Linked DNA regions of Stegostoma tigrinum. The protein of the gene in region 1 interacts with the protein of each later gene in a biochemical or structural test. Links are inferred from orthologs where the notes say so. Each region holds a gene or a part of one and is shown on either strand. Other genes may lie near its edges.

The links. The genes of interacting proteins can lie anywhere in the genome.
Region 2: the proteins of ubiquitin-conjugating enzyme E2 E1 (region 1) and rnf4 form a complex in vitro, tested with the Homo sapiens proteins (2 studies listed by BioGRID, with this or other methods). The link is inferred for Stegostoma tigrinum from reciprocal best matches to the Homo sapiens genes UBE2E1 and RNF4.
Region 3: the proteins of ubiquitin-conjugating enzyme E2 E1 (region 1) and prkn form a complex in vitro, tested with the Homo sapiens proteins (2 studies listed by BioGRID). The link is inferred for Stegostoma tigrinum from reciprocal best matches to the Homo sapiens genes UBE2E1 and PRKN.

Annotation. Positions count from the first base shown.
Region 1 is NC_081355.1:64,890,215-64,898,193, forward strand, and holds the start of ubiquitin-conjugating enzyme E2 E1, read right to left. Parts: upstream 3,006-7,979; 5' UTR 2,387-3,005; coding exon 2,157-2,386; intron 1,603-2,156; coding exon 1,552-1,602; intron 1-1,551. UniProt on the Homo sapiens protein: Accepts ubiquitin from the E1 complex and catalyzes its covalent attachment to other proteins. Catalyzes the covalent attachment of ISG15 to other proteins. Mediates the selective degradation of short-lived and abnormal proteins.
Region 2 is NC_081356.1:130,785,204-130,793,215, forward strand, and holds the start of rnf4 (RING finger protein 4), read right to left. Parts: upstream 3,006-8,012; 5' UTR 2,830-3,005; exon of another isoform or gene 2,752-2,829; intron 1-2,751. UniProt on the Homo sapiens protein: E3 ubiquitin-protein ligase which binds polysumoylated chains covalently attached to proteins and mediates 'Lys-6'-, 'Lys-11'-, 'Lys-48'- and 'Lys-63'-linked polyubiquitination of those substrates and their subsequent targeting to the proteasome for degradation.
Region 3 is NC_081362.1:24,013,687-24,020,639, forward strand, and holds the start of prkn (E3 ubiquitin-protein ligase parkin), read left to right. Parts: upstream 1-4,080; 5' UTR 4,081-4,139; coding exon of another isoform or gene 4,140-4,146; intron 4,147-4,368; exon of another isoform or gene 4,369-4,440; intron 4,441-6,953. Other genes in the region: parkin coregulated gene protein homolog, read right to left, coding at 3,886-4,080. UniProt on the Homo sapiens protein: Functions within a multiprotein E3 ubiquitin ligase complex, catalyzing the covalent attachment of ubiquitin moieties onto substrate proteins. Substrates include SYT11 and VDAC1.

The sequences.
Region 1 (7,979 bases):
CGCAGCAATAGGTTATCAATGCAGCAAACTCTCTCAACACATCTAAGGAAACCATTTTCCCCTCCATGTCAGGGTTAGGTTAACTCAACCTTCCATATTTCTGCCCAACCCCTATATCATTACCGAGTAGTTTGTTTTAAATGGGAGAAATCAAAACCAAGCGCACCTATCCGCAAAACCAGACATCAATGCCTGCGATGCCAGAGCACATACATACCGAAAGCAGGTTTACCTCAGAGTTGTATCTAAAAACACTATTATGGCCAAAGCTAGTATGCCTATGTTGTACATTCATTCACTCCAGTGCATTTCAAACATTATTCAAAATTTCTTAGTTATAACTCAAGCTTTGTGCAGTATTTCAGTAATTTTGAGATTCTGTCACCCATTTATTCACAGCTTATGCTATCACATGGATTGATTAAGTTACAGGTTTTAAACTCACTTATCCATTTACTATCTCATTAGAGAGAAAACATACACAATTTGTGATGGAATACCAACAGCGCAGAGTACATCACATGCCAATATCATTTCTGAAATCTAATTAATACCCGAAAACTTATTTCTGGACTCGAAGTTCATGGAGTTGTTCCAATTGTCTCCTTCATAAAACACAAGAATTTTCATGTGCAACATAACTGTAGGCTCTATCTTGGGCAAATATACAAACGAATCAATGACTAATATCCAAGAAGGGTGGTGTTTTAAATAAATGCTCAAGTTATAAGCGAAGTGAAAGAGTTTCTCGAACAGGAAGTGATCCAACTAAGTGGAAATGACTTTTAAATGTTTTTCACAACATAGGTACTGAGTGCCATTTTTGTTCTCATTAAGAAAACAAGAACGAACTACAACCCAGAAGACATCATAACTGCAAATCTCATTTTGTCCTAAAATGTGACAACATCCCAATCACTATCTCACATTTTGTACACTAATTAATTGTAGGCAGACCTTATTCTGGTCTTGCAAAAGCAGTTAAAAAAAATTTAAGGAGTTTTGTTTTGAAAAGAAAAGGTGAGGCTTAAAATTGTCCACTGGATAGGAACTTGTCACCATCTTATCAGCACTGATTAAAATCATTTAAAGTCAAATTACTCGCATTTGCGGTGTCTGTGAAGGACATAACATTTACTTATCAAAAATGAGCACGTCTATTACATACACAACCAGAACACTTCAGTAACCCCAGTACCTCCCCCCCCCCAAAAAATCACAATTGTGAAACAGCCCAAATGCAGATGGACAAGAATCTTCCAGGAAGTTTAGTACTGATGGGAATCCCCTCAACGTGGAGGAAATTTTCAAGCTTCCAAACTGAAACTTATTAGAGAAACTTCAGTTTAAAGTACTGACGTTTAACTTCTATTTGATTCTGCAAATAGAAAATTGGCCTGAATCCCAATTTCTGTTTCAATACAACAATCACTACTCTTTTAACTCATTAACCAGATTTTTAAAATAAAACAAAAATCGCACGCCCAGTTATCATCGCCCTTTTAACGCAGATATTAAAGCAGACCATTTATTTTATGAGAAATAACTAACCTGCAGTTCGGTGGTGGATCCAACGTGATGTCAGCCAGCTCCTTCTGGATTCTGTCAAACATAAAACATTGACCATTTTAAAAACTCACGGCATAACTAAGAATGCCACATTCCCAACACATTCTCCGAAATTTCACGACTTCAAAAAGTTAGGGAAATAAAATAAAGCAAAGACGTTGACCCTCAGCCTGTACGAGAAAGCGAGAGGGGGGGAAAAACATGGCCGCCTCTCACAGCTCCAAGAAGCTAATACAGTGAAAAATTTCCAACTCGATTGCCGCACTCCTCCGGCGAGCAGAGTCCGCACAAGCCGGCCCAGTGGAAAGTAGTTGGCGTCAGAAATGCAAACCCGGGGCAATGGAGTCAGAACTCGGCCCTGTTTTTTTGTACAAAATGATCTTAGCTAATATGCAAATGAGCCTCTGGTGTTAAAGAAGTCTGGCGTGTCGCGGGTGAGAGAAAGGAGGAAACCCCGGAGGGTGGGGGGAAGGGGGAAGGGGAAGAGAAGCAAAGCAGGAGCCCCATGATCTCTCCCCCCCCCCCCCCCCCCCCACCCCAGACCAACGGCCGGAGCTCGTGCCCACCCCCCCGCCATCCGCACTCACCTCTTGGCGCTGGTGGTGAGCAGTTTGGGGTTCTTGCTCATGGTGTTGTTCTTCGCTTCTCTTTTCCTCTTGCTCCCTCCGCCGCTACCACCCCCGCCGCCGCCGTTGTTATCGCTGCTGCCGCCGCCGGTGATGCTGTCGTTGTTGTTTCTCGTCTCTTTCTCAGCTGCTTGTGAAGAACTTGAAGACGAGGAGGAGCTGGTGCTGGCCCTCGAGTCGTCATCCGACATCTCCACCGCTGGCTCGCTGTCACACACTGACTGCGTTGAAGCACGACAGTGTCTCACTCTCTGCTCCCCTCCCACCTCCCAAACAAACACACAACACACCGACAACAACGGAAAAGATGGAGAATCAAGACATAGAACTTAACATAATTAAAAAGGAAAGCGGACACCTGAAGAGATAAGAGTATAGAGAGAGGTGAGGATACAATGTCAGTAAGAGTGAGTCACAGTGTATCTGATGTAGTGTAACACTCACAGCAACAACGCACTGACTGACACTCACTCACCGAGCAATATCCCGTCATCGGCTGCGCACTATCAGCTGGAGCTGCTCCAGCTCTGGAGTGATTGAGGGGACTATCCTCACAACAATAACAAAACAGACAGGATGCCACACTTTGTACAATCTGTGGAAAAAAACAAGTGTTGCACCATATGGACTTGAAGAATGAACCTGCTGTCAGATGTTGACTTTTGTATTTGTTATACTTTTCGCTGTGTGTTTCTGTCCTCCTTTTACTTTATTTTCCCTCTTTGTTGGATTCTTTTTACACTTTTGCTTCTCTGGTAATCTGGACAGCGATTGTCGCCGACCTGCCGGTTGCCAGGGCTGGTACAATGTCAGACGCGTGTCTCACTCGGACAGGGAAAGGAACGGAAGTAGACCAACCACAAATGCAGGGAGGAGACAGGGCTTCTTTGGGATTGTTACAAGGTCTGGTAACTACATAGAAAGTTGTACTCACACACTTCTAGGCACATTGTTTGTCTATTTTCGGATTAATTGACTTGGTTCATTAGGTTTCACTGACATTTTTATTCTATTGCTCATGAACTTTGTATTTAAACACTTAAATGTTTTTAAAAGACAACACGGATAATTTGTTGAATGAAGTGAAGACGTTTTCAGACATGTTTGATATTCCAAGGAAGTTTAGTTTTTTTTTCCTTTCTTGTCTAAAAACTCTTGATGTGGTCTTTCAGGATCTCAAAGACACCCAAACCACTCGATCAATCGAAGTAGTTTATAACGTATGAAATGGCGGTTGCCAATTTACAAACTGCAGGGCAATATTAACCAGATAATTTGTTTGCAATATGTTGGTGAAGGGACAACATTCATTAGGATACTAGAGGGAATACTCATTCTCTTCTTCGAAATTGACATAAGCAAAATTATAGTACTGATAAATGTAATAAACCTAAAAACAATGCCAAATGCTCCAGACTAAGTGACTTTCATCCCATGGTTTTGCAGGAAGGAGAGAATCCTTAATGCCCAAACTCTGTTCCCCTCTCATTCTCGCAACTGAACAATTCATGTAGATTGGGAAAACTCCAGACCACTTGGTTATTTAAGAAAGGAAACCCAAGCATGTGAACCAATTTGTGAAACTTTTAAAGTCTATATTAAAAGTAGAGAGTAACTGAGCACCTTAAACTTTCAGCGAATCAGAATGGGCCAACTTGGGTTGTGAAGGGCAGGTTATTTCTGACAAACCTGAATTTTTTTTAAAGCGTGTTTGAAATGCTAGTCTGAGGAATGTCTATGAATGTAATTTATATCAAGTGTCTTTTGGAAGTTCATAAAGCCTCTCATTAGAGACTTATCAAAAATTCAGGTTTGTGTAATTGAAAGCAATATTATTGACTTTGTTATTATATTACCGAACAGGGAAAATAGACAGGTACCTTTTAATTGATGGATATGACGACTGATGTCTTACAGATCTCTGTTGGGGCTTAACTATTAGCTATATTTTATTAATTACAATACTTTGATGGCATGGACAGCTATATATCCAAGTTTGCTGGTAGCTAAAAGGTGTCAAACCGGAAGCCACATAAATGGAAGTACAGAACTATGAAGAGATACTGAATATCAAGGGAATATCCAAAACTGTGACAAATGGATTTCAGTGTAGGGAAATACAAACTCACTCAATTTAAATCTAAACAGAATAAATCAAAGTACTTTCTAAGTGATGAAAAGCTAGGAACTGTGACAGTTCAGGGAGACTTGCAGGTCAATGTATATAGGTTTTAAAATATCATAGGTAAGAACATAACATGGAATATGGGCCGTTGTGTCTAGAGGACTAGAAGAGTACAACGGTTAAAAATTACCATGCAGGTGTACAGAGTCTGAGTTATACCACACACCTGGAGAACTAATTTCAGTTGTAGGGAACACCTTAGGAAATGATACATTGGTCCTGGAGGTATGACAGCATGGAATTGACAGAATTATGTCTAAACTCCAAGTATTATATTGCACATATCATAATTTTGTTTCTTGGGAATAAGAAGATTACAGGGTGACTTAAACAAAACACTTTCTCAAACCAAGTTATTTATAATGTAGGAAATGAAGACTGCCAATTTTGAGAGATATGAAGGAGAGCTGATAAGATAGATAGAAAATACTGCAGTTATTTAGGATGCTTAGGTGTAGGGGACATAGCATGAACATTAGAGCTATGTCTTTCAATAGTAAAGTTAAGATTAAAGTTTTGGCAAAGATCCATAACTCCGGCTGTGGAGGAGGTTGTTGACTTGTTTGTCGAGCTAGCTTATTCTTATTCAGACATTTCATCACCATATAAGGTGACATCATCAGTGGAGGTTCCAATGAAGCAGTGTTATTCTACTCCACTTAATTTATACTGTTTGGTCCATTATGGTAAGTAAACCCATACAGACCAAAACCAGAAATGACACTGCTCACCGTAATGGAACAAACAGTATAAATTTCAAGTGGAGTAGAATAACACCACTTCATTGGAGGGTCCACTGATGATGTCACCTAGTTTGGTGAAAAATGACTGAACAAGAACAAGCCAGTTCAGCGAGCAAGTCAACAACCTCAGTAAAGTTAAGAAAGATTGGTTGAAATTTGAGAGATTTTTGTTTGTTCATGAAAGGTGGGTGTTGCTAGCTAGACCATTGGCCATACCTGATTGCCTTAGAGAAGGTGGTGGTGAGTTGCCTTCTTGAACCACTGTAACTTGGGTGTAGGGATGATCACAGTGCTTTTGGAAACTTAACTCCAGCATTTTGATACAGCAACAGTGATGGAATGATAATACCATGCAAGTCAGGATGGTGTGTAACTTGGAAATTGCATGTGTATTAATCCTGAGTACCTGTTGCTGTAGTGTTTCTAGGTAGTAGAGGTCATAGGTTTGAAAGGTGTTTTCGGCAGAGTCTTGGTGAGTTATCATATTGCATCATCTAGATGGTATACATTGCTGTTACTGTGTGTTGGTGGTGAAGGGATTTAATATTAAAGATTGTGGTTAGGGTGCCAGTGAAGTCACCTGCTGTATCTTGGATAGAACATAGAGCTTTACAGCACAGGAACAGGCCCTTCAGCCCATGATGTTCTGCAGAACATGACACCAATTTAAACTAATCCCTTTGCCTGCCATTGGTCCATATCCCTGTATTCTTTGCATAATAGTGTCAAGCTTAGTGAGTGTTTTTGGAGCTGTGCATCCAGACAAATGGAGGGTACTCTATCACATTCCTGACTTGTGCCTGTAGATAGCAGACAGGGAGTGGGGGAGATGGCAGGTGAGTTACTTTGTATAGAATCCCTGACCTCTGAACTACTCTTGTAGCCACTGTAAGTAAATTGCAAGCCTAGTTCGGTTTCTAGTCAATGGTAACCCACAGGATGTTGATAGTGGGGAATTCAAGGGACATCGTGACATACTGGTCATGTCACTGGACCAACAATTCAGAATCCCAAACATATGTTTGAGGGATATGCCTTAAAATCCCAATATGTCAAATGGTGAAAATTTACATTTGATAACAATAAATAAGCTGGTACAACAACAACCATTAAATCATTGTTGATTATTGTAAGCCTCAGTTTGATCCCTGATGTTCCTAATGAGAGAAGATCTGCCAGCCTTACTTTGTCTGGCTAACACATGAGTCCAGACCCACAAAAATATAGTGAACCATTAAATGTTTTGCAAAGTGGTTTGGCAAGCCACTCAATTCAAGGGTATTTAGTAATGAGCAATAAATGCTGTCTCATACAACAATACCCACATTGCATGAAAGAATTGTTAAAAATAAAATATCAATGCCACTTGACATCCAATGGCATAAGCAATGATTATATACTCTCTTACTGGAAACAAACATTGCCTGGTACTTGTGTGGCATGAATATTACTTACCATTTAGACATTCAAGCCTAGACGTTGCCCAGGACTTGCTGCAGATGAACATGGACTGCTTCACTATCTGGAATGTTGCAGTGCTGGACACTGCACAAGCTTCAAATAAAAACACTTCTGATGGTTGGGACCAGCATACTACCTCGAGGAATGGTTGCAGAGAAGTCTTGTGGCAGAGATGATTGACCTCAAAGCCATTATCATTTTTTTAAAAGTTACATCTAACTCCAACCAGCAGCGAGTTCCTCCCCGATTCTCATTGACTTTGTAATTATGGGCGTTACTTAATGCTGCACTCTGCTAAATGCTAGAAATCAGAGTTAATATTTCAGGTCCAGTGATCTTTCTTCAGGGCTGGTGAACGGTCACTGAACCTGAGTGGTTAACTATGATTCTCTCCACAGAAGTTGCCAGACTTGAGTTTTTCTGACAATTTCTGTTTGTTTCTGATTTCCAGCAGTTCTTTCAGCTTTGTGCTAAATACTGCCTAGATATGAAGGAAAGTTACCTCTGGAATTCAGCTTGTTTTGTCCATGTTTGGTCCAAGTTTGTAATGCAGTATGGAACTTAGTGGCCTTGGTGCAGCAGAAAAAGACTAAGAATGAGCCAGTTATTCCTTTGAAAATGTGGGTTGATAAGATGGTTGACAATCCCTTCCATCATTTTGCTGATGAAGGGTAGGCAGATTGAGTGGAACTTTGCTTGGTTGGATTTGTCCTGCTCTTTGTGAACACATACCTAGGGAATGTACCACACTTTCACATAGATACTAATGTTGTGCAGTACCAGAACAACATGGCTGGGGTCATCGGAAATTCTGGAACACATCTTCATTACTGTTGCTGGAGTGTTGTCAGGCCCGGTAGCTTTTTGCATATCCGTGGAGTGAAACAACCTGTTAAGATTGGCTCCTATGATGCTGGGAATCTCAGGAAGAGGTCCAGACGGATTATCCACTCAACATTTTTGGCCAAAGATGGATGCAGTGGTTCAGCCTTATTATTTGCACTGATGTGCTGGACTTCCCATTGATGAGAAGAAATATTTTGGACTATCAACCCCCTATTAGTAGCTTAATTGCAACTGTTTGTACATGGATGGTTGGAGTGCAGAATTTAGATCTGACCCATTGACTGTAGGATCGCTTAACTCTGTCTTCTACAAACAACAATTAATTGTAGGACAATTGGTGATTTTTAACTCAGATTGGTTAACCAAAAAAAATCCAGCCACTTTAATGAAGCTGGAACACGTGACCTTCTAGTTCGGAGGCGGGAGTATTATCAACTGATCAGAGAGAAATATGAACATGGCCAAACTCACCATGCATAAGTCTCTACACAGTCAATGCAGCACTTGCTTCACGCTGCACTGAAATGTCAGCCTAAATTTTGTGCTTGT
Region 2 (8,012 bases), on another chromosome or scaffold:
TCTAAAGTAACGCAACCGCTTTCTATTCCTCTGTTGTACACAAGATTCTTACCTAGGTATCTGTACCTAAGATGGTGCCATAACCTTCTACTGCATCCCAAAACCAGCCCAGCTCGTCCCCGCCTAACCTGTGCTTCCTCTCACCTATCCCCTCCTCCCACCTCAAGCCGCACCCCCATTTCCTGCCTACTAACCTCTTCCCACCCCCTTGACCTGTCCGTCCGCCCCGGACTGACCTATTCCCTCCCCACCACTTTCGATCCACCTCCCCCTCTCTCCCTAATTATTTCAGGACCCTCTCCCCATCCCCCTTCTCTGATGAAGGGTCTGGGCCTGAAACGTCAGCTTTTGTGCTCCTAAGATGCTGCTTGGCCTGCTGTGTTCATTCAGCTCCCCACTTTGTTATCTAGGTGCCATAAGAGACAGACATTCTGAAAGCTTTTCACTGTACTTCTACATTGCAATACACATGACAATAAAGGATATTCTAATTCTAATTCACAAACCACAGTGAAGACAAACAACAGCACTTTTGCCTCGATTATTCTTCAGACTGGAGCCCCCTAAAGATGTGTTATCAGTTTGCTGATAAGACTACCGCAACAGGCTGGACATCAAACAACGATGAGTCAGAATACAGGAAGGAAGAGAGTGGTGCAATAATAACACCCTCCCTCTCAATATCAGCAAAACAAAAGAACAAGTTATTGACTTCAGGGACAAAGGAGGAGGATACGCCTCTATCTACATCAACAGAGCTGAGGTGGAGGAGGTTGAGAGCATCATGTTCCTAAGAGTCACAATATCATGGATCTCCCCAGCAGATGTAATGGTCAAGCAGGCACAATGCTTCTTCCCCCTTGAGCGACTTAGGAATTTGGCATGTCCCTAAGGACCCTCGCCACCTTTTACAGATGCACCATAGAAAGCATTCTATCCAGGTGCACAACAGCCTGTGAGAGCAAATGCTCTGCCCAGAATCTCACAAAACTACACAAAGTTATGCGCACAGCCCAGACCATCACAGAAACCAACCTCCCATCTACGCACTCCATTTCCACTTCTCATTCCATGCCAACAAAGATCCCTGCCATCCCAACAATGCTCTCTTCCAACCCTGTCAGACAGAAAATTCAGAAGATTGAACATATGCATCAACTGGTTCAAGAACAGCTTCTCCTTACTATTATTGGGCTGATGAATCTCTAACTTCAAATAATGTTGATCTTACTTTGTGCACTTTCTGTGCAGTTGTAACCTTGTATACCTCACTCTAAGCGCCCAATGATCCGTACGTCCTTGTTTGCTATGATCTGCCTCGAATGATTGCAAAAAAAAGTTTTTCCATTGTAAGAGTTACTGGGGGTCAAAATGTTAACACTTTTCTTCCGACAGATGCTACCAGACCTGCTGTGTTTTACTAAGTGACTTCAGTTTTGTTTCACATCTGCAGTTATTTGTCTTAGTTCATTTTCATTTTCAAGGAAAGTATCAGTCATCTACTTACGCAATCTACATGGCTATCCTTCTATCAGAGGCCACCTAAAGACCAGACACTCTTCACAAAAATTATAAAGACATTGTTCTCCTTTAACTACCATTCTCATGAATGCCCTGTCAAGTGTAAGCTGATAAACTTGGACAAACTTAGACATTTTTCAACAAGACTGAAGTAGTTGTTATATAATTCAAACACTTGTACAATTAAGATCCTGCTGATTTTAAAATACTAAGCAAAGCAGGAACTCTTTGGAGATCCTAAAACAAGAGAACAATGAGATTGCAAGGTGAAAGAGGGTCAGGATATGACATGAAAAGGTTACAGCAATGGTCACAAAATGGAGACACACAGATACACAAACAATGAAACAAAAGTCCTTAGCTGATTTATATCCATCAAGTTACTAAAATTGTAGGTAATACTACCAGTATAGAAACAATAATTCTTCCAGCACTGTTTTATTTTCCAAATAAATCATGATTTTTTTCAGTTTTAGTTCAATTTACATACATTATCATTGAGTGCTGACTCTGTGCACTCCTGTTCATTGCTACAATGTAGATGCAGCTTAAACATCAAACATGAACAAGTAGTGTGAAGTGGCATGGGAACAGACCAGAGGTATTTGAATACAACCATACAATAAAGACCAAATATCCCAAACTTGACCTCACTCTGGATAGAAAAAAAGATAAGCACTCATGCAAGGGCACAGTCTCAGAATACCATGGTGCCAATTAAAAACTAAGAGGAGGAAGAATTTCGCCTGTCGGAGATTCGAAAGTCTTTGGAACTCCTTGTCACAGACAGTTGTGGGGCCACAGTTCTTGTGCACAATAAAGTTTCAGACAAATTCATGATCTGTCGGGAAATCAAGGGTAATGGGGAAAAGACAGAAAGTGGACACGAGGAATGTCATATCAGCCATGATAATACTAAAATGGTGGAACAAGCCGGAATAACAGGACGGCCTACTCCTGTCCCCACTTCTTATGGTCTTACGTTTCACAGTGACCACAATGAATCTCCTCAAAACTGATATTCAGATACAAAGCGATAGTAGGAACATTGCTCGTTAGGAAAACATGAAACATAGAATAGAGACGTCACCGGCAAGTGCTTAAACTGTAGTTGCTGAGGCCTAAGAAAATAACCAAATCAGAAAAAGCCTTCACTGGAGTGGCAGCTAAAAAAAACATGCAAAACACACACACACAACAAAGCGGAAGACAACAACTCAAGGTGAGTACCTCTCGGAGACATAACCTCACACATGAAAACAAATGAAGAGCCAGTCACCATGCAGATGAAAGGAATAATCCAGTCACCATTAAAGACCTTCAATCGCTGTGAATAGCAGATACCGGCGGAAGGAAAAGCCACATCCCACGTGACCTCACCACGGCCCGCCTTCATAATGGGGGGGGGGTGGGGGGTGCAAATCCCGTTGTCGATTGGTCAATGGTCACGGAGACCGTCATCGCATCTCCACGGCAGCGACCCAATGATTCGACAGCCTGTTCCCCGGCCCCGTTCATCTTGGGCGGGGTCTCCGCGCGAGGTCAAAGGGAGGTCACACGCCGTAGCAGCGGATTACGGAGCAAAAACGGAAGTTACTGGAAAAGCTCAGCAGGTCTGGTTGTGGGGGAAGAAAACCAGTGTTAACGTTTCGGGACCGCTGACCCTTCCTCAGAACTTGTGATGACGGTTTTGTTAACGAACCTGTGATAATGGGGACTGCAGATGGTGGGGAATCCAAGATAATAAAGTGTGAAGCTGGATGAACACAGCAGGCCAAGCAGCATCTCAGGAGCACAAAAGCTGACGTTTCGGGCCTAGACCCTTCATCAGAGGCGAGTGATGAAGGGTCTAGGCCCGAAACGTCAGTTTTTGTGCTCCTGAGATGCTGCTGGGCCTGCTGTGTTCATCCAGCCTCACATTTTGTGAATGAACCTATCCCGAATGACCTATATGGAAAGACTACAACTCCCAGAGGGCGGTGCGCCATGCGCGTTCTGACCGTTAAACGGCGGCACTTTGAAATTTTCCATCTTTCTCTGCCAGGATGGGAGAGGTTTTTTTTAATATGCTGTGTATATATACGTTACGTTTCTATATTCGTTGTATGTTATGTATATAAAGATGAATCAATCATGTGATCGACGGTAAGTTAGAATCCATGGAGGTAAATTGTGCGCCCGCCCGTTTTCCGTAGGCGAGAATGAACGGATGGTGTTTGAACCGAGAGACTCTTCAGAGTCGCAACAATGCAACCGGTGTTTGAAAACCCCTTCCTCTCCGCCTTGTCTGTCTGTCGTGGGGCGGGGGGATGCTGGTGAGACATGGGAGCGCATGAACCAACTGACACTGTCAATCATCACCGTTGACCACCTCAGTGCTCCGCCCGACAGCCAATCAGCGCCAGGTGGGCGTGGCTTCTGGCGCGATGACCTGCATTTTTTTTGAACCACCACAGCCCATTCAATGTTGTAGATGTATCTTAGTGCTGTTCAGGATGGGGGAAGTTTGAGGATTTTGATCCAGTGGCACTTAAGGAATAGCAATATATTTCCAAGTAGGCATGATGTGTGGTTTGGAATCGTTCCCATGTATCTGTTGCCTCTTGTTTTTCTAAATATGTATTTCCAAGCTGGGCCAGAAGAGCAGAAATAAACCGTTCAGCCTGCTCCAGCTTTCATTGAGATCATGGCTGATCTGATGATCCTCCACTCCACTTGCTGACTTTCCCCGACAATGCCTGATTCCCATACTGATTTAAAATTCCGTCTATCTCCAAAAGGCTCTGATCTTGAATATACTTAATGATTCAGCCTGAACAGAACTCTGCTGAATTCCACAGATCACTACCCTCTTGAGAAGAGAAATTCCTCATTTATTCTGACGAAGGGTCACCGGACCCAAAACATTAACTGGGACTTTTTTTCTTCACAGATGCTGCCAGACCTGCTGAGCTTTTACGGCGACTTCTGTTTTTGTTCCTCATCATTTCTGTTTCAAATGTGCCATCTATAATTCTGAGGTTATGGTCAGAAGTCACACAACACCAGATTAGAGTCCAACACGTTTATGTGAAATCACAAGCTTTCAGAGTGTGGCCCCTTTGATGAAGTGAGAGAGAAGCACGTAGAATTTATGGGCAGAGGAAGATCAAGGGCAGAGAGATCAAAAGATCATACAAATAGTGTGAGTGGAACGTCAAATAATCAGTTGCTATAGAAGATCTGAAGTGTTAGATGGTGTGAATAAAGTGTCAACAGCTGAATAACAAGTGAGGGGATGGCCTAAAATCCGATTAAATGAGGCAGAGAGATAATTACAAAAAATTTGGAAAAAAAAGTGCTGGAGACAAACCAAATGATTGGAATACCATGATAAGTATTAAAGTTGTAAGTTGAGGGTCCAACTAAAATCATAAGCAATCCAAAACTGTACAAAATAATTAAGGTAGAGAGATCACAACAATTTATTCAAGTGATGGTGATAAAACAGAATAGTAAGGAAGATTTTTGGTCAAGAAAGCACAACAACACCTGCCCATTTACCTTCTCCCTTCCCAATATCCAGTCCACCTCCCCACAGCTCTATGGCACCTTCCCCTGTAAACAGTGATGGTGCAACACTTGTCCATTTACCTCTTCCCTCCTCAGTAACCAAGAGCCCAAACATACCTTTCAGGTGAAGCAACACTTCACCTGCGCTTCCAAGATTCTAGTCTACTGCATTTGCCGCTCACAATGTGGTTTCCTCTACATTGGGGAAATGATGCATAGACTTGGCAATTGCTTCACAGAACATCTACGTTCTGCTTGCAAAAAAGACCCTGAACTACCTGTTGCCTGCCACTTCAATGCACCACCCTGCTCCCTGGAAAACATCTCTGTCTCTGGCTTGCTGCAGTGTTCCAGTGAAGCCCAACGCAAGCTGGAGGAACAACACTTCATTTTCCACTTGGGGAACCTACCGCCCTCCGGACTCAATATTGAGTTCAATAATTTTAGGCCCTAAACTCTCCCGTGTCCCAGTTCCCCCACCCCACACACCTTGTTACTACCTAGCCTGCCATTACACACCCCCTGTTGTTAGTCACTAACTGTCCCCATTAACATCTATTCACCCTCCCAGCCTAATCGTTAGTAACTCCTTTGTCTGTCCAACTGTCTTTCTTTCTCTCTGGGCTCTATCTTATCGTTTACTCCCTACCCCACCCACCTCCCTATTTTCTGCATATCAACTGATGTTTTCCCAGCCACCATCAGTTCTGAGGAAGGGTCACCAGACCCAAAACATTAACTCTGTTTTCTCCTCCACAGATGCTGCCAGTCCTGCTGAGCTTTTCCAGCAACTTTTTTTTCGTTCCTCCATACCTGCTATCAGCCGACTAAACCTTCTCTAGAATGGCTCCAAATGTCAGTATATTTTATCTTAAATAAGGACACCTGTATTGTTCACTGTTTTCAGTTATGGTCTGACTATGGGCATAAATCGTAGGCAGGTAGATAGGATGTAAACAGGTTAGGTTCAGGGCAAATATTTTGCAAATGGAATAGGGTATAAAGAAAATATGAGGTTATGCACTTTGGCATAATGAATAGAGGATCTGAATATTATTTAAATTGAGAAAGACTGCAGAAGGCTACAGCACACATGAATTTAGGAGTTCTCGTGTGAATCACTAAAAGTTGGCATCCAGGTTCAGTGGGTAACAGGGAAGGCAAATGGAACACTATTTCAAAGGGAATGGAGTATAAAAGAGGGAGGTTTTCCTGAAACTATAAAAGCTACAAGGAATCTCTTCTCCCAGAGGGTACTATGGAATTCTTTACTATAGCGGACTGTCAAGACTGTATTGTTAAGAACATACAAGGCTAAGATAGACATACTGTTTTAAATCGTAAGGGAATCGAGGATTAAACGGAAAAGGCAGGAAAGTGAAGATGAGGATTACCAAATTAACCATGATCTCATTTGAATGGTGGAGTAGACTAGATGAGCTAAATGGCCTAAATTAGGTGAAAACAAATATTGGCTTCTTTTTAATTAAACACCAATTAAACACATATTTTTGATCAGTCTTCACAGAAGAGGTCACAAATAACATTCTAAAAATGTTGGGCAACGCAGGATCCAGTAAAGAGAAAGAATTGAAAGAAATCAGTATCAGCAGGGAAATGGTGTTGAAGGAATTGATATGACTAAATGCTGATAAATCTCCAGAAGCTGATAATCTTCATCCCAAAGTATTAAGTGGTCTAAGAAAGTGGATGCATATTTCACAATTCCATAGAACTGTTCCTGGAACAGATCCTGTGAATTGGAAGGTAACTAATGTAACCCCACTATTTAATGTTCCATATTAACTCTGCTCCTACGTCTTATGGACACCAGGCCCATGAAAGAATACATTAATAAAAGCGCATAATTCACCAATTGGGCTCAAACTAATGTTTTATTCAGGTTCAACATTACCCGAAGCTCTGAAATTTAACAAAGTACCTGTGGTCTATTTTGAGATGCTCAATTACAATGAAGGAACTACTTGAATACAAGTTGTTGTCTGTCAGGAGCTACCAGTTCAATGGGCCAGTATCACTGAATAGATTAGCAACGATTTTACAATTATATCAGGAAACACTTCTTTACACAAAGGATAAAGGAAATATAGAATTACACTAATCCTCCTATACTGGACCAACTTCCAAGTGATAAAGGATGTTGAGGAGGTTAGGGTCATAAAATTGAAACTAAATTTGCTAATTATGAAAGAAAACTAGTGCAAAATATGAAAGAAAGGACATCAATGTCATCTTTAAGAACATAAAAAGACAGTAAAAGTGAATTTTGGTTCCTTCATGGATAAGACTAGGGAGTTAATAATGAGGAAAACACAAAGGGCAGAGACATTCAGTCAATCTTTTACCTCCGTTGTTATGGTAGCAAACACTGAAACCATCCCAACTGTAACAGTTAAGGCAGAGGTTTTCAAAAAAGAGGATCTTAGAACAATCACAATCACTAAGGAAAAAGTACTGAGCAAACTATTGGGATTAAAGGTAAGCAAATCCCGAGGGCCTAACGGTTTACATGCTAGGATTTTAAAAGAAGTAGCAGCATAGATAATGGATGCATTGGTTATAATATTTCAAATTCCTGGATTCTGTGGATTGGTAATTTGTAAAGCAGTTATTCAAAAAGACAATGAGGCAGAAAATTGGAAATTAAAGACAATTAGTGTACCATTTGTGATTGAGAAAAAGTTGGAATCCATTTTTGAGAAAGTAGTAATGGGACATTTAGAATGTAAAAATGCAATACACCAGAGTCAACATGGCTTTATGAAGGGTACATCATGTTTGACCAACATTCTACGGTTCTTCAAAGATGTATCAAGCGATATAGATAATGCAAGTTCTTGTAGATGTATATGTAGACTTTAACAAGGCATTGGTGGTGAGGTGCCACACAGAAGGTTAACACACAAATTAAGATCATG
Region 3 (6,953 bases), on another chromosome or scaffold:
GTGGTGTCTGCTCTCCAAAGTTGCAAACAAGCAGTTGCTTGCAGTTTGCTGAAGTTTTCTGGTTTTGTCTCAATAACAGACATGTCTTCCCTCTAAATTCAAATAATGCTTCCTGTTCAACCCTTACATACATGTTTCCTTACTGACAACAAAATGTGAGGCTGGATGAACACAGCAGGCCAAGCAGCATCTCAGGAGCACAAAAGCTGACGTTTCGGGCCTAGACCCTTCATTCCTTACTGACTAAAGCTTTTTCTCCTAGAATTTGCTAGTGCTGTCAGTTCATCTGATTATAACACATTGCCTAGGATAATTGGCACACATCACAAAAAGCAGAAAACTGGTTGTGGGGATATTTCAACAGACTGATAAAAGACCATGTTACATAAGTCAAATCTGGGCAGAGACAGGCATCCGGGGGAGGTGTGAAACATCTCTAAAGAAGAGTAGGGAAAGACTAGTAAAATGGAGGTCACCAGCACTGGATTTGTTATACATGATGACAGCTAACCAATGGCTCGAAAAAAGGAAAGAATGGTGTGCTTTGATTAATAGTCAATGGTTATATTACGAGAACCAAAAGGTCCTGTTTGCTTCAACTACATTTTGTCTCAACTGGTTTCAAACCTTCAGGAATCTCTGCATAACAACAAAAGGCAGAGACAGGTTCAAGTCCCATCTGCTCCAAGGTGAATTGCATTTCTCAGTCTCCATCTCAGGCAACCAGCTTGTAACTGATGTCCATTTCAAGCCCACCGACTCCCACAGCTACCTAGAATACAACTCCTCCCACCCACCCTCCTGCAAAAATTCCATCCCCTATTCCCAATTCCTCCGCCTCCGCCGCATCTGCTCCCACGATAAGACATTCCACTCCCGCACATCCCAGATGTCCAAGTTCTTTAAGGACCGCAACTTTCCCCCCACAGTGATCGAGAACGCCCTTGACCGCGTCTCCCGTATTTCGCGCAACACATCCCTCACACCCCGCCCCCGCCACAACCGCCCTAAGAGGATCCCCCTCGTTCTCACACACCACCCTACCAACCTCGGGATACAACGCATCATCCTCCGACACTTCCGCCATTTACAATCCGACCCCACCACCCAAGACATTTTTCCATCCCCTCCCCTGTCTGCTTTCCGGAGAGACCACTCTCTCCGTGACTCCCTTGTTCGCTCCACACTGCCCTCCAACCCCACCACACCCGGCACCTTCCCCTGCAACCGCAGGAAATGCTACACTTGTCCCCACATCTCCTCCCTCACCCCTACCCCAGGCCCCAAGATGACATTCCACATTAAGCAGAGGTTCACCTGCACATCTGCCAATGTGGTATACTGCATCCATTGTACCCGGTGCGGCTTCCTCTACACTGGGGAAACCAAGCGGAGGCTTGGAGACCGCTTTGCAGAACACCTCCGCTCAGTTCGCAACAAACAACTGCACCTCCCAGTCGCAAACCGTTTCCACTCCCCCTCCCATTCTCTAGATGACATGTCCATCATGGGCCTCCTGCACTGCCACAATGATGCCACCCGAAGGTTGCAGGAACAGCAACTCATATTCCGCCTGGGAACCCTGCAGCCATATGGTATCAATGTGGACTTCACCAGTTTCAAAATCTTCCCTTCCCCTACTGCATCCCTAAACCAGCCTAGTTCGTCCCCTCCCCCCACTGCACCACACAACCAGCCCAGCTCTTCCTCCCCACCCACTGCATCCCAAAACCAGTCCAACCTGTCTCTGCTTCCCTAACCGGTTCTTCCTCTCACCCATCCCTTCCTCCCACACCAAGCCGCACCCCCAGCTACCTACTAACCTCATCCCACCTCCTTGACCTGTCCGCCTTCCCTGGACTGACCTATCCCCTCCCTACCTCCCCACCTATCTTCTTTACTCTCCATCTTCGGTCCGCCTCCCCCTCTCTCCCTATTTATTCCAGCTCCCTCTCCCCATCCCCCTCTCTGATGAAGGGTCTAGGCCCGAAACGTCAGCTTTTGTGCTCCTGAGATGCTGCTTGGCCTGCTGTGTTCATCCAGCCTCACATTTTATTATCTTGCATTTCTGAATAGTTTGATTAGAAAGCGTCTGAAAGATAACAGCTCCAAAACACCATCTCATCTAGCAATTATTGACAACACCCAGGTGTGACTTGGGCATTGCTGGACTGTTTGGTCAATGCACAATCATGGAGGAGCTGTAACTTACTCCGGTTAAACACTAGGAAAAGTTCATCTCCAGCCACAAGCTCATTCTTGCAATATGAGAATCCTATTTGATAGTGATTGATTTATCCTCTGGCGCTGGCCACTCTTGTCGGATGGTAGTGTGTTTTTACTGCTTAATATCATCTGTTTCTTGAAGATATCAAGACTTGACACTTTATTTTAAAAAACACCAGAGTATTTTCTTAGTAACTGTCACACGTTCCCTCTCCTGACATTCCCTCGTCGGGGTATATTACATTTCAGACAGCAGTCATCATATGGTATCTTGCAAATGGTGAATGTCGAGAGGGTACTTTAACAAGGTGCCCCTTGTTGGAACAGAACACGACGAATTTTGCCCTTCTTGGCCTGGGGGTGCTGAAATCAATTGCAGCATGAAAGAAAGAGTCAAAAGATCATTGACCTGAAAGAAACGTTGCCTGACGTGCAGTATTTTAAGCGGCTTGTTTTTATTTCAGATTTCTGGTAAACACAGTATTTTGGATACCTGTACCTTGAAAATCTCTGACCGACCTGACGTGGATTAATTCAAAAAAGATCAGCGCCAGAACCTTTTTACCTTTCCAACATGATTCAACGACTTGCTAAGTAAGGCTGCTAAAGAATCAGAGTATTGAGTATTTTAATAAATGCCTTTAACGGCAGCAGTTATGTCAGAAAAATCAATCCTTTTGTTGCTAAATTGTTCCAATCTCCGAGAATTACATTTGTGAAACTTTTCAGAACATACAGTTTGAAATTTTGCTCTTATTTTGCCTTGCTTATTGACCACAGACAAGTTCGGTGGGGGCATTGCATTACTTTAAAAGGTGTTACAAAATGTAGAAGAATAAATTTGTCTTTGGATGCATTGAGCTCGTACAAATTCATAGCTGAGAATAATGAGCTGCTACTAAGAAAATTTTCGTTTAAAACATCACACATACTAAAAGAGGGAGGTTGAAATAGCATGCAGTCTGCTTTTAAGCATGTGATCCAATGAATATTTAGCTACTTACAATGGAATTTTTCATCATGGCTTTCACTGTGAAACCTTCAGTTACTCTATGATCCTTCTTAGGTCTTTGATACATAGTCGCCAGAAGTTTCTGGTTGCCCTTTTCCAGTCCGTAGGCAGCTGGCATTTTATTTGTTGTGAAGGCAGAGTAGCAGTAAGACACCTCCTACTGAACAAATTCCACCGCTGTTATATTGTTCTTGCAACGTTTCGAACAAAATCTTGGTTCACCAACAGCTGGTGGTTTTCCGGGCACCCCGTTGCTAAGAGAGATACATTAAACAAACGCCGTCATTTCCGTCACGCCGAAGGGTTCCCGTTAATTCAGTTGACATATCACGTGACTGGAACGGGCTTATTTTTGAATCATGATGCCCCGACTGCACGTTGAGTGTACCCTCAGTAAAATTGACCTAAAACATTAAAGCGAACACTTTTTTAAAAGACGTTTTGTTTCCTCCTTCCTGATATGAGGGTTACTCTGTTTCAAACTTCACGCTCACAATCGCCGTCTCTCGGGCTCTTTTCTCGGCGACTCAATCCCTCAGGGCACCAACCCTCCCACTTCCTTGGTTTTCACAACCCTTAATGATCTCCGTGGACCTCCTTCCTTTATTTATTCTTTAATAATGATGTATATGGTACTACTTGCTCACCATCTTGTAAATCCTTTTATTTCCAAATTCACGTGTTCGACCCTTTACCCTCGCGCGCCGCCTCTTCCTCTGCCCTCGAACGCACTCCACCACGTTAGTAAACAATCCTGGAACTCCCTGACAAGGAAGAAAGCTGCACGCAAGCGCAGTACAACTTGGCCTACAGATTTTAACTGGAATATCTACAGGCGACATGATGTAAAATTCAGCTTCGCCCAAAGTGTCCCCTTTGTAGAGCTGAAGTGATCAAAGAAATGATCGGTAGGTGATGGCTTGACATAAAGTTATTGCCAGGTCGTGTTCAGTCGTATTTGCAGACGTCATGTACGCACGTCCGGTTAGCATAATAATCCATCATTTTTGACTATAGCAAACGAAAATTTGAAACAAATATTGACTTGAAGTGATAAATCAAAGGTAAATTAGATATAATCATTTCATTCACCATACAGTATACAGTAGTGGTGTAAACAAAATCACTGTCTCCCCGGCGGGGAATTGAACCCCGGTCTCCCGCGTGACAGGCGGGGATACTAACCACTATACTACCGAGGATCTGATGTTTTGTTATTTGGCTTTCAGACTAGAAAAAAGATAGCCGTAGAATAATTAAACGATCAATTAAATCTGAAAGATAGTAAAACTAACTAAATCTAAACTGTTCAATGGTTTAATTAATTTTGTGTATAACTTTATGTATGATAATGTACATTTTACAATGTTTAATGCAAACCAACCCTGACATGACTTACTTAAAAATCTGTGGAGCCATTCCAATTGGCCTGATACTTTGCTGTTTGAGAAAATATGGACCGATTCTGTAAAACATATCTAGTTCCTTGTCATCAATTTCTATTTCAATATACACTTGGTACGATGCAACTGGAGGTTGAAATTTGTTGACAATGAAAGACTTGAGGAAATTTCACTGTACGTGAAACGTCAACTCTGATTTCTCTTCGTATTTAATGCCAGAACCACTGAGCTTTTCCTAGCCATTTCTGTTTTAGTTTCTAAATTACAAAGATGGTCCACAAGGACTGTGACAGTTCTCCCCTTCTCCCTGTACAACCAAGCCAAAGCTGTGGCAAAGATTGCTATGTTGATGACCTCTGAAGTTTGAAATTCAACCAGCGAAATACATTCGGAAAATCCTCTTTGTATTCATTGAAATGCTGTCCTCCATGCATAAAGATTTGCTGCATTTTCCATGGGAATGGAACACGAGGCAAACAAACTAATTGGTGAAACAAGATCAAAGACAAAAACAGAAATTGCTGGGGGAAAAAAATAATCAGGTCTTGCAGCATCTGTTGAGAGAAAACAGAATTAATACTTTGGATCCAGTGACCCTTCTGAGTTTTTCCAGCATTTTTTGTTTTAGAACATAGAACATAGAACATAGAACAGTACAGCACAGAACAGGCCCTTCAGCCCACAATGTTGTGCCGACCATTGATCCTCATGTATGCGCCCTCAAATTTCTGTGACCATATACATGTCCAGCAGTCTCTTAAATGACCCCAATGACCTTGCTTCCACAACTGCTGCTGGCAACGCATTCCATGCTCTCACAACTCTCTGCGTAAAGAACCTGCCTCTGACATCCCCTCTATACTTTTCACCAACCAGCTTAAAACTATGACCCCTCGTGCTAGCCATTTCTGCCCTGGGAAATAGTCTCTGGCTATCAACTCTATCTATGCCTCTCATTATCTTTTCTGATTTCCAGTTTCTTTGGACTTTTCACTTGGTGAAACAAGATGCTGTAGTTAGAAATTTCAGCCCTGTGTCAAAATGGATAATTTGCAGTGCTGTTGCAACATGGACAAGGCATTCTGTAACTAATCCCCATAATCAGATGTGATTATGAAATGAATCCAGAATGATTTACTCCATAATAACAAAGTGTGGAGCTGGATGAACACAGCAGGCCAAGCAGCATCTTCGGAACACAAAAGCTGACGTTTCGGGCCTAGACCCTTCATCAGAAAAGGGGGAAGGGGAGAGAGTTCTGAAATAAATAGGGAGTGGGGGAGGCGGATCGAAGATGGATAGAGAAGATAGGTGGAGAGGAGACAGACAAGTTAAAGCGCAGGAATGGAGTCAGTAGAGGTGAGTGTAGGTGGGGAGGGGATTGGTCAGTCTGGGGAGGACGGCCAGGTCAAGGGGGTGGGATTAGGTTGGTAGGTAGGAAATGAGGGTGGGGCTTGAAGTGGGAGGAGGAGATAGGTGAGAGGAAGAAGGGGTTAGGGAGGCAGGGACGAGCTGGGCTGGTTTTAGGATGCAGTGGGGGGAGGGGAGATTTTGAAGCTTGTGAAATCCCCATTGATACCATTGGGCTGCAGGGTTCCCAAGTTGAATATGAGTTACTGTTCCTGCAATCTTCGGGTGGCATCATTGTGGCACTGAAGGAGGCCCAGGATGGACATGTCATCTAAGGAATGGAAGGGGGAGTTGAAATGGTTCACGACTGGGAGATGCAGTTGTTTATTGCGAACCGAGCCTAGGTGTTCTCCAAAGCTGTCCCCAAGCCTCTGCTTGGTTTTCCCAATGTAGAAGAGGCCACAACGGGTACAGCAGATGCAGTATACCACTTTGGCAGATGTGCAGGTGAACATCTGCTTCTTGAGGAAAGTCTTCTTGGGGCCTGGGATGGGAGCGAGGTAGGAGGTATGGGAGCAGGTGTAGCACTTTCTGTGGTTGCAGGGCAAAGTGCCGGGTGTGATGGGGTTGGAGGGGAGTGTGGAGCGGACAAGGGAGTCACAGAGAGCGTGATCCCTCCGGAAAGCAGACAAGGGTGGGGAGGGTAAGATGTCTTTGGTGGTGGGGTCGGATTGCAGATGGCGGAAGTGTCGGAGGATGATGCGTTGGATCTGGAGGTTGGTGCGGTGGTACATGAGGACGAGGGGGATTCTCTTTTGGTGGTTATTGCGGGGACGGGGTGCGAGGGATGAGTTGCGGGAAATGCGGGAGACACAGTCAAGGGTGTTCTCGACCACTGCGGGGGGAAAGTTGCAGTTTTTGACAGCTGAGATGTAAGGGAGTGGAATGCCTCATTTTCAGAG